Linked DNA regions of Struthio camelus. The protein of the gene in region 2 purifies or fractionates together with the protein of the main gene of each other region. This does not show direct contact. Links are inferred from orthologs where the notes say so. Each region holds a gene or a part of one and is shown on either strand. Other genes may lie near its edges.

Region 1 (3,745 bases), on a different chromosome or scaffold from region 2:
GCTCCTGCCTCCTAACTGAAAAGAACCTGGAGAAGAAAATGAGATTTTAATAAGCAGATGTAGTTGGGGTTTAGGACTAATGTCATCACCTCCAGGGTTTGAAGCAGTCACTCATGCCTGAGATTGATATGTCAGATGCTTTACTGTCTACCTGGGTGAAACGCTCCCCAGCTTCCATGAGCAGTCATATAACCTCTCCTAAGCGCAGCACCCCCTTGCCACCCCTCTCCATCCATGCCCTATCAGATAGCCATCTCAGGGCTCCAACAGCTAAACCTCAGCTTGCTTTCAGCCCCAGCTGCCTCAGGGCTCCTCTGTGCTCACCAGAGCTCCACTTACACTTGTCTCCAGGGGGCAGGGTGCCTTTCAGGCTCCTTTCCTTCCCCTCCCAGCCCACTCTGGGACAGTCTGTGCTCCCTGTAACCCTCCTCTGTGCTATGCCAGTCTGGAGTAACTGCTGGAGCTAGGAATACTCCAGAACTTCCAGGATGTCCTGGTGCCATGGCAGTGGAAGATCCCTGCCTTTTCTGACATATTCTAGGGGTGTGCTTACCTTTTTTGATGCCTTCCTCTTACTTGCAATGTTGCCCCAGGTCAGACAAGCTCTCAGCTGTGGGCTGTACCAGCTGAGCTCCCAGCTGAGCAGTGCCTCCCATAGCAGGTCCTCAGGCCGAGGCTGAGGTCATTGAGTCTCTCTGCTACTCCTCAGTGAGATGCCTAGCAGGCCAGACCTCTGGAGGCTGACAGCACGGCTCTTTTGGGGACCAGGCTTGTGCAAGATCTGGATGTCGAAGGGGAAGGATAGCAATTCTGGGCTGTTTCAGGTCCTTGGCCAAGGATCGGGGCTGCTGGCTTGGTAGTCTCATGGGTGAGTGGACCAAACCACTCTTGCTGCCACAGCCGTTGAGCTGTTACGTGACCCAGGGCAGGAAGGAGAGTGATGGTGCCTCAGTTTCCCTTCTCCCCACCTGTCTCTGTGGGCTGAGCACTTGGCGTAGGGGCAGTTTCTTACCTATTGGCAGCTGCAACACCAAAAGCTGCAGCAGCAGTTTCTACAGGGATTTTCCCCTAAGCCTCTCCTATTCCCATTCAGCATACTAACATCTTTAATACCCCTAAGCTTTTTGGAGCAGCAGTTGGGGGTGGTTACACATCATGCACCCAGTACCTAGCACAAGCCATTCCTGGACAGGGTCTCTGGACTCTTGTGTGATACAAACTTGAAACAGTCTTCCCTGATGCAGCGCAGCGGTTCCTTGCTACCAGAGCCCACGTCCCAGCCCATTACCAAGAGCGCCGGTCTGGCCGGGGCCGGCACCAGTATGGATTCTGGCAGCACTAGGGGGCAGCATTGGTGCAGATATGAGCTGTCCAGCTAGGTGAAGTCTACGAATGGCAGCAAGCACCTTGCTTGAACTCCCTGTTATCCCCAGTGAGAAGCTTTTAATTCTGGCTGGCTGGCCACTCTAGAAGTCACCTCCTGTTGCATAACTCCTTGGAGGATGGTCAGAAAACTACATGTCAGTGTCCTCAGATGCTGCTTTTCTTCCTCAGATGGTTTTTTTCCTCCTTCCATGGAAACTGGCTCAAAACTCAGCAGATTTTTCTCCGGTCCTGGAAACATGGCTTGTCTCTGCTGGGAGACTTCACAGAACAACCCAAAGCTGTGACCAGGACACAGCAGGATGTTGGTGCTGGAACTGGAGCAAAAACCTTTCTCATTCCCAGCAAGGGGCTGAACCCTTGAGCAGACAGCTCTGTAGGCCCCATGAGTGTGAGAATCAGCAGTCAGGATCACTTGTCCCTCAAGCAGAGATTTGCATTGCTGCAGAGTCTCTCTAATTTCTGCAGGGTGAGCCCAGCTCTGTCACAGGACAGAGAGCAGTTCTCTTGCTGTGTAGATGTGTTTGCTTCCCCAAAGGACATCTGCTCAATCATTTCTGCTCTGATAGCCTATGGGAACACCCTAGAGCTCTGAATCAAAAAAGCTCCCACCAAGTGCCCAATGCCTTGCTATCCCCAGGCTTCCCAAGTCACATCAGGAGGGGTAACAGCACAGCACTCTCTGTGCACAGAGTGAATGTCATGGTGGGGCTGGCAATGTTTCAGTTTCAGGTTTTTAGCATAGCAACTACCTTAGAAGGTGACATCAACATCATGCTGTGTAAGTAAAAGTCCTTTAGAAGAGGAAGGCCCTGCCATATTTCCTGAAGGGTTGAACTTTGGGATTTATCTGATCTCTGTGATAACACAAGTTGGCCAGGTTCCCTTGTAAGGGGAAGAAGGCTGAGTGATTAGTACCAAGAAACAAACACTGGCTTGTCTGGCCTCAGCCCTAGGCCATTCTCCCAGATGCAGCCAGCCCCATCATGTCCTTGCATGACCCTGCTGTACACATATAGTATGGCAAACTGGATCATTTCGTCTTTAGGTATGCGCAGAGCTGATGTATGCTCTTGGCTGCCTACTCCCCACTGCCTGCTTACCTGGGAGCAGGGGCTGCTGGATCTGGCCTTCTGCCTTCTTCCATCCATGCTCAGTGCATCAGGGCTGGTGAAGAGGGGCAGGCAGGCAGCAGGTTCCTCCCTAGGGATTGGCTAGATTGGAGAGGGCAGTGGTACCTGTGCTCTGCCCAGAGCCCTAGTGCAAGCAGCAGTGAGCAGGTGTCTCCTGCCCTGGTTGCTGTTTTGGTCCTCTCCTCACAGTTTGAGTTACTGTCCCCAGGCCTGCAGACATCCTGGGTGCCTTGCAGAGGAAATCCTTGCCACAGCACTCTTGAGATCAGCCCCTTGTGCAGCTCCTGTGGGAGTGATGGCCCTGACATGTAGCACTCCTGTGCTCCTCCTGTCACCAAGTGCCCAAAAAAATGACTTCATGAAAAATATGAACCCTGAGCCAGACAAGGCCTTTGTACTCTGAGTAACAGCATGGATCTTCTCCGGAGGTTGAGGACCTCCTCTCATTACTGCAGTCTCAGCCCCTTCCCTTCAACACACCACTGGGTGTTCAGCCAACCCCTTCTCAAAACACCCAATGGGGAGATACCCTGCATTCCTGGACATCTCTCCTAGTGCTTTGCCAGCTTCCCCCTTCAGGCAGCTACCACCCACGGCTCAGGAGAACATCTCCAGCTGTCTGCCAGGAGGCTCCTTGACATCCAGCCTAGGTATCAGGGATGCTGAGGCAGGGTGAAAATCTCCCATCAGGATGGTTTCCAGGTGGGAAAAGATTTAATTAAATGAAAATTTTAATTAAAAAATTAAAAATTTAATTAAATGTCCATTAAATGAACATCTTTTTTTTTCTTTTTCCTCCTAGAAACCAGTGGTCTCCCCAAATACAGAATTTATTTTCTCCTTTGTGTAGCATGCAAAATGCCTGGAACAACCAGAGACAAACGGGATGGGGATAAGAAACTTTGAAACCTAAGCAGAAAATAGACTTCCTGTGAAGCAACAGTCTCTGAAAGGAAGGAGCAGGTATCTGGGGCTGGGAAGGAGAGGAAAGGAGAGGGATCTGCTCTGCCATGCCATTGTCCTGCTCATCTCAGCAGAAACAAGGACTTCTGCAGCGACAGTGCGATGAGGGAATGGCAATGATGGAAACCCAGACCTCCAGCCCGGAAATACACGTGGGAGCACACAAACACACATGCACGAGCCAGGGCAGGGGAAGGCAGACTCCTTTACCCCATTTTCCTGTCCATTGTTTTCTGTGCTACTTACCCAAGAGCTTCACCACAGGA
Region 2 (3,745 bases):
ACCAAATAAAGGAGAAGGAAATGTGAAAAAATGATGCAAACTTGGAAGAGCAAGCTTTAGGGAAACAATTCGAAGACTTGCATAAGCAACGAGAGGCACTGCAAAAAGAAGTGAGGAAAATTAACATCCCACAGTTATGGGAAGTGAGAAAGAGTTAACACCCAAAGATCACAGTTAGACCACTACTGGGAAGAAAGCAATTCCAGAAAGAAACTACTTTGTGTATATTCTAGTGAGATAATTCCTTCCTTTCCCAAAACGCACAAGAGCGGAAAACCCTGTGAAGAGAACAGAGATAGCGAGCAAAGAGTTATAGATGACAGCAGTCTCAAACTGAAATCAGAGTAATTTATTTGAGAAAATAATAAGACACAAAAGGTAAGCCTGACTTATCTGAAATTCAGGGCAACTTTTGCCAGGATCATAAGAGACTGTCTTAAGAAGTATTGATAAATAAACATCTATACTGAACAGTTAGATCAGAGTAACGCTAAACGAGCGTAGGTCGGCTGGAAAACCTTGATTTCAGTATATACCAAGGCACTTCTGGTCTTGCCATAGGAAAGTCAAACAGTTAATTAGCATTAAAAACATGGAGAAGCTACATATAAAGGTGCTTCCGCAATTTGGAAGTTTCCCTATTAGGAGATACTATGTTCTCACAGTTAGTCACAGAGACAATAAGATTATAGCCGCAAAATGCAAAATATTAACCTACAAGGACCAACAACTGAGAATTTAAATACACTCTAGTCAGGTAAGGCAGCAAAGCTGGAAGAGCCACCATGGAACAGAAGAGAAGATGAAAGCACTCAGACATGTAACGCTGAGTGGAAGCAGAGCACCAAGCTGAAAGTAAAATAAGACATCTGGCAGATCCCCTTTTCCTTTTATATAGTCAGACACAAGAACATGAGCTTTCTCTCAGACAAGACCTTCTCAATGAATACACAACGATGACTTGTGGTTGCACGTGACAGCATCTCAGAGCACTACGTCAAAACTAAAGTAAAACGCTGAAAACTTAAGCTCTGTACAGACACAAGCACTAATAAAAACAGATAAAACTCAACTAGTTCTAATTCTTGCTATGTTCTGCTCTACAACGTGTCACATACCTAGCTTTCAACACCTAGCTACTGCAATCTCTACTTTTCATAAACCTCCTATGAAGATATCAGTAAAAAGCAACCTGACGTCCCGCTAAAATCAGCAATTATGACTTCGATATAAACTGAAGTTACCCCCTAAATCTGATCTTGCGTGGGCACATGCCTGACGCTTTAACAGATTCGGGCAAAACCCTCTGCTCCATGGCACCCGGGGAAGGCAGGTCAGTAAGTAACGGCCAGACCAGATGCCCAAGCTCCTGAACCTTCACAAAAGCAGGAGGTAATTAACGGAAACCTAGTCCTCCCTTTGCAAAGGACTACTCTCTGACATTCAGAAGGGACTCCTGTCATCTCTGTTCTTCTGTTTTAACAAAAGCAATGACTGAAATACGTGATAATGAATTAACATGCTTGTGGGATAGCGAAAAAATTAGAACAGCAGTCCAAGCGTTCACAGCTAAGGTAAGCGTTCACCGACAGGCTGGGAAAGTTAACACGTTCAAAGACCTGGAGGAACCAGGACCAACGACCTGAGCAAGAAACCAGCCGAGGTACCAGCAAGGACGTCAGAAAGGGGGAGCAGAGCCGAGGCGCCACAAACCAGCCCCGGGAGAGGCCGCGTCTCACCTCGGGGCCTTACAGCCCCGCGCCAACCCACCGCCGACCACCGACCGTTGGGGGGGGGGGGGGAAGGTGGCACCCGCGGGACCGGCTGGGGCGGGCCAAGGCGGCCGTTGGGGCGCGGGGGGAGCGAGGACGACGGTCGGGGCGCGCGGGGGGGGGGGCGAAGGCGACGGTTGGGGCGCGCGGGGGGAGGCGAGGGCGACGGTTGGGGCGCGCGCGGGGGGGGGGAGGCGAGGGCGACGGTCGGGGCGCGCGGGGGGGGGGGCGAAGGCGACGGTTGGGGCGCGCGGGGGGAGGCGAGGGCGACGGTTGGGGCGCGCGCGGGGGGGGGGAGGCGAGGGCGACGGTCGGGGCGCGCGCGGGGGGGGGAAGGCGAGGGCGACAGTTGGGGCGCGCGCGGGGGGGGGAGGCGAGGGCGACGGTTGGGGCGCGCGCGGGGGGGGAGCGAGGGCGACGGTTGGGGCGAGGAGCCGCAAGGCGCACCGGGACCCGTCCCCCGCGCCCCGCTCGGCTCGGCTCACCTTGGCCTCCGCGGCCAGCCCCGCCAGAGCGGCCAGCGCCAGCAGCGAGCAGAGCCGCGGCCAGCCCCCGCCGCCGGCCGCCATGTCGGGCCCCGGGCTCGGCCCGGCCCGGAACCTCCTGCTTATCGCCGCCGCCGCCGCCGCGCCGCCAGCCCCCCGGCGCCCGCCGCCATCACTTCCGCCTTCCGGCGGCCTCACGTGAGGCGGTGTCCGGCCGGGAAGGCGGCCGGCGGGGTGCGGCGGCGCCGGCGGCGGGTTCCGGGGCGGCGGGGGCCGCCCCTGCCCGGCCGCCTCTCCGTCGCCTCTTGGCCCTTGGATTTCAAACAGCAGCCTCATTCACGAAGCGCTTGAAAGAGCAGAGACTCGGCGTTTCCTCACCTGCTGCTCACAGAAATGACAAGCAGCCACGTTTGAAATGCGAAGGGGAAGAAAAAAACCGGGTGCGCTGAGGTCTGGCAGAGGCGGTTGGGCCCCGGGCCGGCCGGCCGGGGAGCGCGGCGGTGCTGTGCGCCCCGGCTGCGGAAACAAAAACGTGCGATACCTTCCTTCGGGCTGACCGCCTTTCTTCTGCAGAAGGAGTGTCCCCGTTGTCCCCCACGGAGCGGATGGCGAGGGGACGCGGAGCAGGACACGACCCAGGCGTCACCTGCAACATACCACACGTTAGTTACCCTACTTCTTCACCCTCCCCAAACATGCAGTAGTTACTGTATGCAGACCTGCCGATGTGCAGCACCAAGAGTAATGTTTTCCCTGTGCAAACAGGCTCTGAGAAATTACAGAAAAAAATTGCGCATTTGGTTACACTGAAGCTAAGCCTAAAAATACAATTAATGCTAATTATCCCTATAAAGTGCATTTTGGGTCAGTTAAACAACACAAAAGTTTTGAAACGTATTAGAAGTGATGCAAAGTAGCATTCCAGATGAGAGGTGGAGGTTGCTGGTAACGAGTTTTTCAGTAACTGAACATAGAAGGGCAGTATATATTTTCAATGTATTTTATAGATAGACATATACATAGATAGACAGCTTTTCTCTAAGATAATGTCCCTAAAATACAGTGCTGTCCCCTATTTTTCACGTGGTGGTTAGTGGTGTCCATGCAAGAAGAGAGTTCACCTTCCTTCAGAGAGGCAATAAACGTTCATGAGAAGCAGCATTTTCAGCTGCAGTCCTTTGGGACCTGGCAGATCGAGCAAGTTTGAGTTTTCCTGTCCTTGGCTGGGAAGACCCAGAGAGCGCCTGCTGCTGCTAGGAGGGGGTTCAGCTGGTCTCCTGCTCGGGAGTCAGCGCTGAAGGGCTTTTTGAGCCCGGCCACGGAAACTGCCTGTGTTCATTTCAGGTTCTCCGCTGCCTTTCAGGAGGAATCGCAGACGTCCTGTTTTAGCCACATCCTCTGCCCGTCTTTCCTCCCCAGTTCCTATATCTTGTACCTTTTTTATATCCATTTTCTGTCCCAAACTGCTTAGCAGGAACACTGTACATT
Region 3 (3,745 bases), on a different chromosome or scaffold from region 2:
CTCCAGTAGTTTCTAAAAATCTACAGTGCCTGCACCCATCACTACTGATGTTCGGCTAAGTACTTGGGGGAAGCAAACATAGCCAAATTAATATTCTGAGGCGTGTGTTTATGTAATTATTCATGTTGAAAATCACATCAGGAACTGTGGCTTAGATCACCTGATCTTGTGAAAAATACCAGCTCATAATTTATGAGGAAACTTAAGACTCTGGTAGCTAGGCATATCTACTAGACAGACACAAACCTGATTACACGCTAACAGATCCACAAACAATTCGCGGCATGTTATTTGCTGAACGTACACCAACAGATTTCCTGCAGAGGCCAGTAATTTACTTCTAACGTTGTTAACAAACTTAAACGTTGCTGTATTTTCTAAAGCTCTTTGGAGAACAATCTACCTGTTTATTATGGCGTTGCGTTGACGACAGGAGAATCATGATCCCGTGATGGGGCCTGCTAGACACTACGCCTATACAAACAGGTATCAAGCGGGGTTTAAGAAAAGACTTCCCACCGAAGTAACACGTAACCGTGTAAGAACACTACGCACCTGAGCCACCCCAAATTTCGGAGGCTGAGCGGGAAGGAGGAACGTTTTGCCGAGGCTCCGGACCCGCGGCGGCGGGGGCCGCGCGCGCAGCGCCTAGCAACGCAGAGCCCCGGCGCGAGCGGGGACGCAGGGGGGAGATGTGCTGTGGATGGGGGGTCACCAAACGCCGGCCCGGAGGCGCTCAGCCAAGCAAGGGGCTCATGGGGATGAGATTACGGGAATGAGATTGTGCGGCTGCTCCCCCTGAGATGCTGTGGGGATTATCGGCATCGTTTTCGTCTCCGTGCGCTTCTCGGCCAGCTGCACTGACGGTCCCCACAGGTCCAGTTTAAACCAGAACTAAACGATTGTTTTTGTTTCTTAAATTTTAGCTATGGGGTTTCGAGCGACACATTTCAAAACGCCTCGCTTTGCGTCCTGCGGGCCGGTTTTAAGGACCCGTGGCAGAGGAGAAGACCCCTGCGAGAGGACGTGGCTTGCTGCCCGCGGCCTGGCGAGCGGCTGCAGCGGGTGCCACACGTGTGCTCAGCCCGGGGAGAGGAAGGGCGGGTGTTGGGGGGGCGGGGGGGTAGGTGGGAGGTTTCTTCCCGCGCGGCGGGGCAGCGAGCCGCCCCCCGCTCCGCCCCCGCGCCGGGCCGGGCCGGGCCGGGCCGGGCCGGGCGGCGGCGGCGCCAGGTGACCTTGGCGGGAGGGGAGCGGAGGCAGAGCCGTGCTGCGGAAGGCGCCCGCCGCCGCCGCCAAGCTGGGCGGGGAGACAGCCGACATGGTGGCAGCCGGCGACGAAGCAGCAGAGGAGGAGGAGGGCGAGCGAGCGGAGATGCTGAGCGCCGCGGAGCCCGCCGCCCTGCAGCGCAACGGGCTGCTCCCCGGCAAGGAGGCGGCCAACGGCGGCGGGCGGGCGGCCGCAGGATGCGCGGCGCAGAGGGGCGGGCGGGCGGCGGAGGCCGAGGCCATGCTGGCGGCGGGCGGCGGGCGGGCGGAGACGCGGCTGTCGCGGCGGCGGCTGGCGGTGCTGGCCGTGTTCAGCGGCTACTCACTGGTGAACGCCTTCCAGTGGATCCAGTACAGCATCCTCAGCAACGTCTTCGTGCACTTCTACCGCGTCTCCTTCGCGCACATAGACTGGCTCTCCATGGTCTACATGGTGGCCTACGTGCCGCTCATCCTGCCCGCCACCTGGCTGCTGGACGCGCGGGGGCTGCGCCTCACGGCGCTGCTGGGCGCCGCGCTCAACGCCCTGGGCGCCTGGCTCAAGTGCGCCAGCCTAGCGCCGGGCCGCTACGCCGTCACCATGGCGGCGCAGGGCGTGTGCGCCGTGGCGCAGGTCTTCATCCTGGGGCTGCCGTCGCGCGTGGCCGCCGTCTGGTTCGGCCCGGCCGAGGTGTCCACGGCCTGCGCCGTGGCCGTGCTCGGCAACCAGGTACGGCGGGGCCGGGGGCGGGCGGCGGGGCGGCGCCTGGGGAGGGCGCTGGCCCTTGAAAGGCCCGCCGCGGGGGCCCAGGCGGTTCTCGGAGAAGTGGCGCTTGGGGCCGCGTCGCGGAGACGGGGAGGGCGGTGGGTGAGGGGGCCAGAGGCAGCGGTGATGGGCGGCCGACGTTGCATTCCCCAGGCCGGCTTTGCCCTGCAGCGCTCTCTCTATCGGTAACGTATTATCATCCACCTTCCCGCCTCCCCCCCCCCCCCCCACCATTTTTTTAAAATAAAATGTGGCCTCACATGGCTGAGCACCGATAGACCGAGCCGGCCCTGCTGACTCGTGACATTTTCTATAACAGCGTGATAATTCACGTGGGGAGCTGATAGCGGAGCCCTGCCACAGCTGTCCTCAAAGTCCTCGGGCCTAGTTCCACAGAGCTGGCACCGATGTATGGGCAAGGGCTGCCTGCAGAGAAGATGCTGTCCGTTCCCCCCCCCCCCGCCCCCCCGTAGCCTTGTTCTTGCTCCCTGCCACTGGCCCCACTTCTCTGTGGCAACGAAATAGTAAAATTCCCATCAGCTTCGCTGGTGCGGGCTGAGGCCTCAGGTACGGTCTGGTTAAGGTAATAGAGGTTTTGTTTATTCTCTTGTGATTCTATCGATTGCTGTTTGTCTGTGGATTGTTAAAGTTGAGGTGGTGCCTATTGGCAGTTAGGGTTGCTTGTTATTTTTACATCCCTCTTTACAATTTTCCAGCATTTTTTCCAAAACAGTTCTTTTTGGGCTGAAGTCTTCAGTGGACAAACCGGCTGCCCGTTTTAGACTGAAGTTTTTTCTTTTTTCCTTCTTTAGCAGTTCAGCAGAAATCTAGCATCTGCTTCCTGGAGTCAGGCTAAAGATTTCTTTGACAGCTAAGATGTCCACACGAGCTTCACCGAGACAGGCAGCAGTCCTCCCAGTAGCAAGGAAGGAACTGCTGTGGTCTCAGTTCTGCTGCGCGGTGCCCACAGCTCTCCCAGCTGGGGAGGAAGCTGGGAGCTTGAGAGCAGTGCTCTGTCCTGATGCTGAGGTCTGGGGGATGAAGTGGTGAAGGAAGAGGGGAGAAGCCCAGGAGTGGAGAAGATGGAAAGCAGGAGAAAGATGGACAAAAAAGCCAGTAGCAGAGGTGTGCTTGGTTGCTTGCTGGAGCACATTCCCCTGCAGAGAGTAGGAATGACCTTAGAGCCCCAAAGTACTTGGTGGTCCTCTGCCGCCTAGAAATACCTGTGAAATACACTGACAAAGTGGGTTTCATTCTCCTCTGGTGGTTTTTCTGCACAGAGGACAATGGCTTATTTTGGTCAGCTGGCCAGTACTCTGTTAACTCAAGTTGTGGAGCTTGTGCTGTAGGTCCGAAGATCCTCCTCTTGCTTATGACCCATGGAGATTGATACAGTGCCAAACAATAGAATTTCTCTGTTTTTAATTTTTGCTTTCTTGAAAAAAAACCCTCTCGAAACCTAGACTGAAAGAATAAGATGACAGATTAGGTGCTTGAAAGTTAAAAACCTGCTACAATTAATATGGTCTATATAAGCTAATGCAGCTGCCTTCTGCGTATGCATTGTGATACAGACCTCAATTACGTGCCTCATTGTGCTCCTCTAAATGCATAAGGTTAGCTGTATAGCAGAATCAGATTGTTACAATGAATGAGACTTGGTCCTCGTATTACGCACCTGATGTTTTGCAGAACTTCGAAGCTATAGCAAACGCCGGTCTGGGTTGCAGACAG

What was found.
Region 1: the proteins of TMEM9B (region 2) and H(+)/Cl(-) exchange transporter 5 purify together in Homo sapiens (co-immunoprecipitation; 3 studies listed by BioGRID and IntAct, counting the BioPlex papers as one, with this or other methods). This does not show direct contact. The link is inferred for Struthio camelus from reciprocal best matches to the Homo sapiens genes TMEM9B and CLCN5.
Region 3: the proteins of TMEM9B (region 2) and FLVCR1 purify together in Homo sapiens (co-immunoprecipitation; 3 studies listed by BioGRID and IntAct, counting the BioPlex papers as one, with this or other methods). This does not show direct contact. The link is inferred for Struthio camelus from reciprocal best matches to the Homo sapiens genes TMEM9B and FLVCR1.

What each region holds. Positions count from the first base shown.
Region 1 is NC_090952.1:1,564,309-1,568,053, forward strand, and holds the start of H(+)/Cl(-) exchange transporter 5, read right to left. Parts: upstream 2,312-3,745; 5' UTR 1-2,311. UniProt on the Homo sapiens protein: Proton-coupled chloride transporter. Functions as antiport system and exchanges chloride ions against protons. Important for normal acidification of the endosome lumen. May play an important role in renal tubular function.
Region 2 is NC_090946.1:23,283,114-23,286,858, forward strand, and holds the start of TMEM9B (transmembrane protein 9B), read right to left. Parts: upstream 2,464-3,745; 5' UTR 2,342-2,463; coding exon 2,258-2,341; intron 1-2,257. UniProt on the Homo sapiens protein: Enhances production of pro-inflammatory cytokines induced by TNF, IL1B, and TLR ligands. Has a role in TNF activation of both the NF-kappaB and MAPK pathways.
Region 3 is NC_090944.1:114,319,920-114,323,664, forward strand, and holds the start of FLVCR1 (heme transporter FLVCR1), read left to right. Parts: upstream 1-1,216; 5' UTR 1,217-1,318; coding exon 1,319-1,975; intron 1,976-3,745.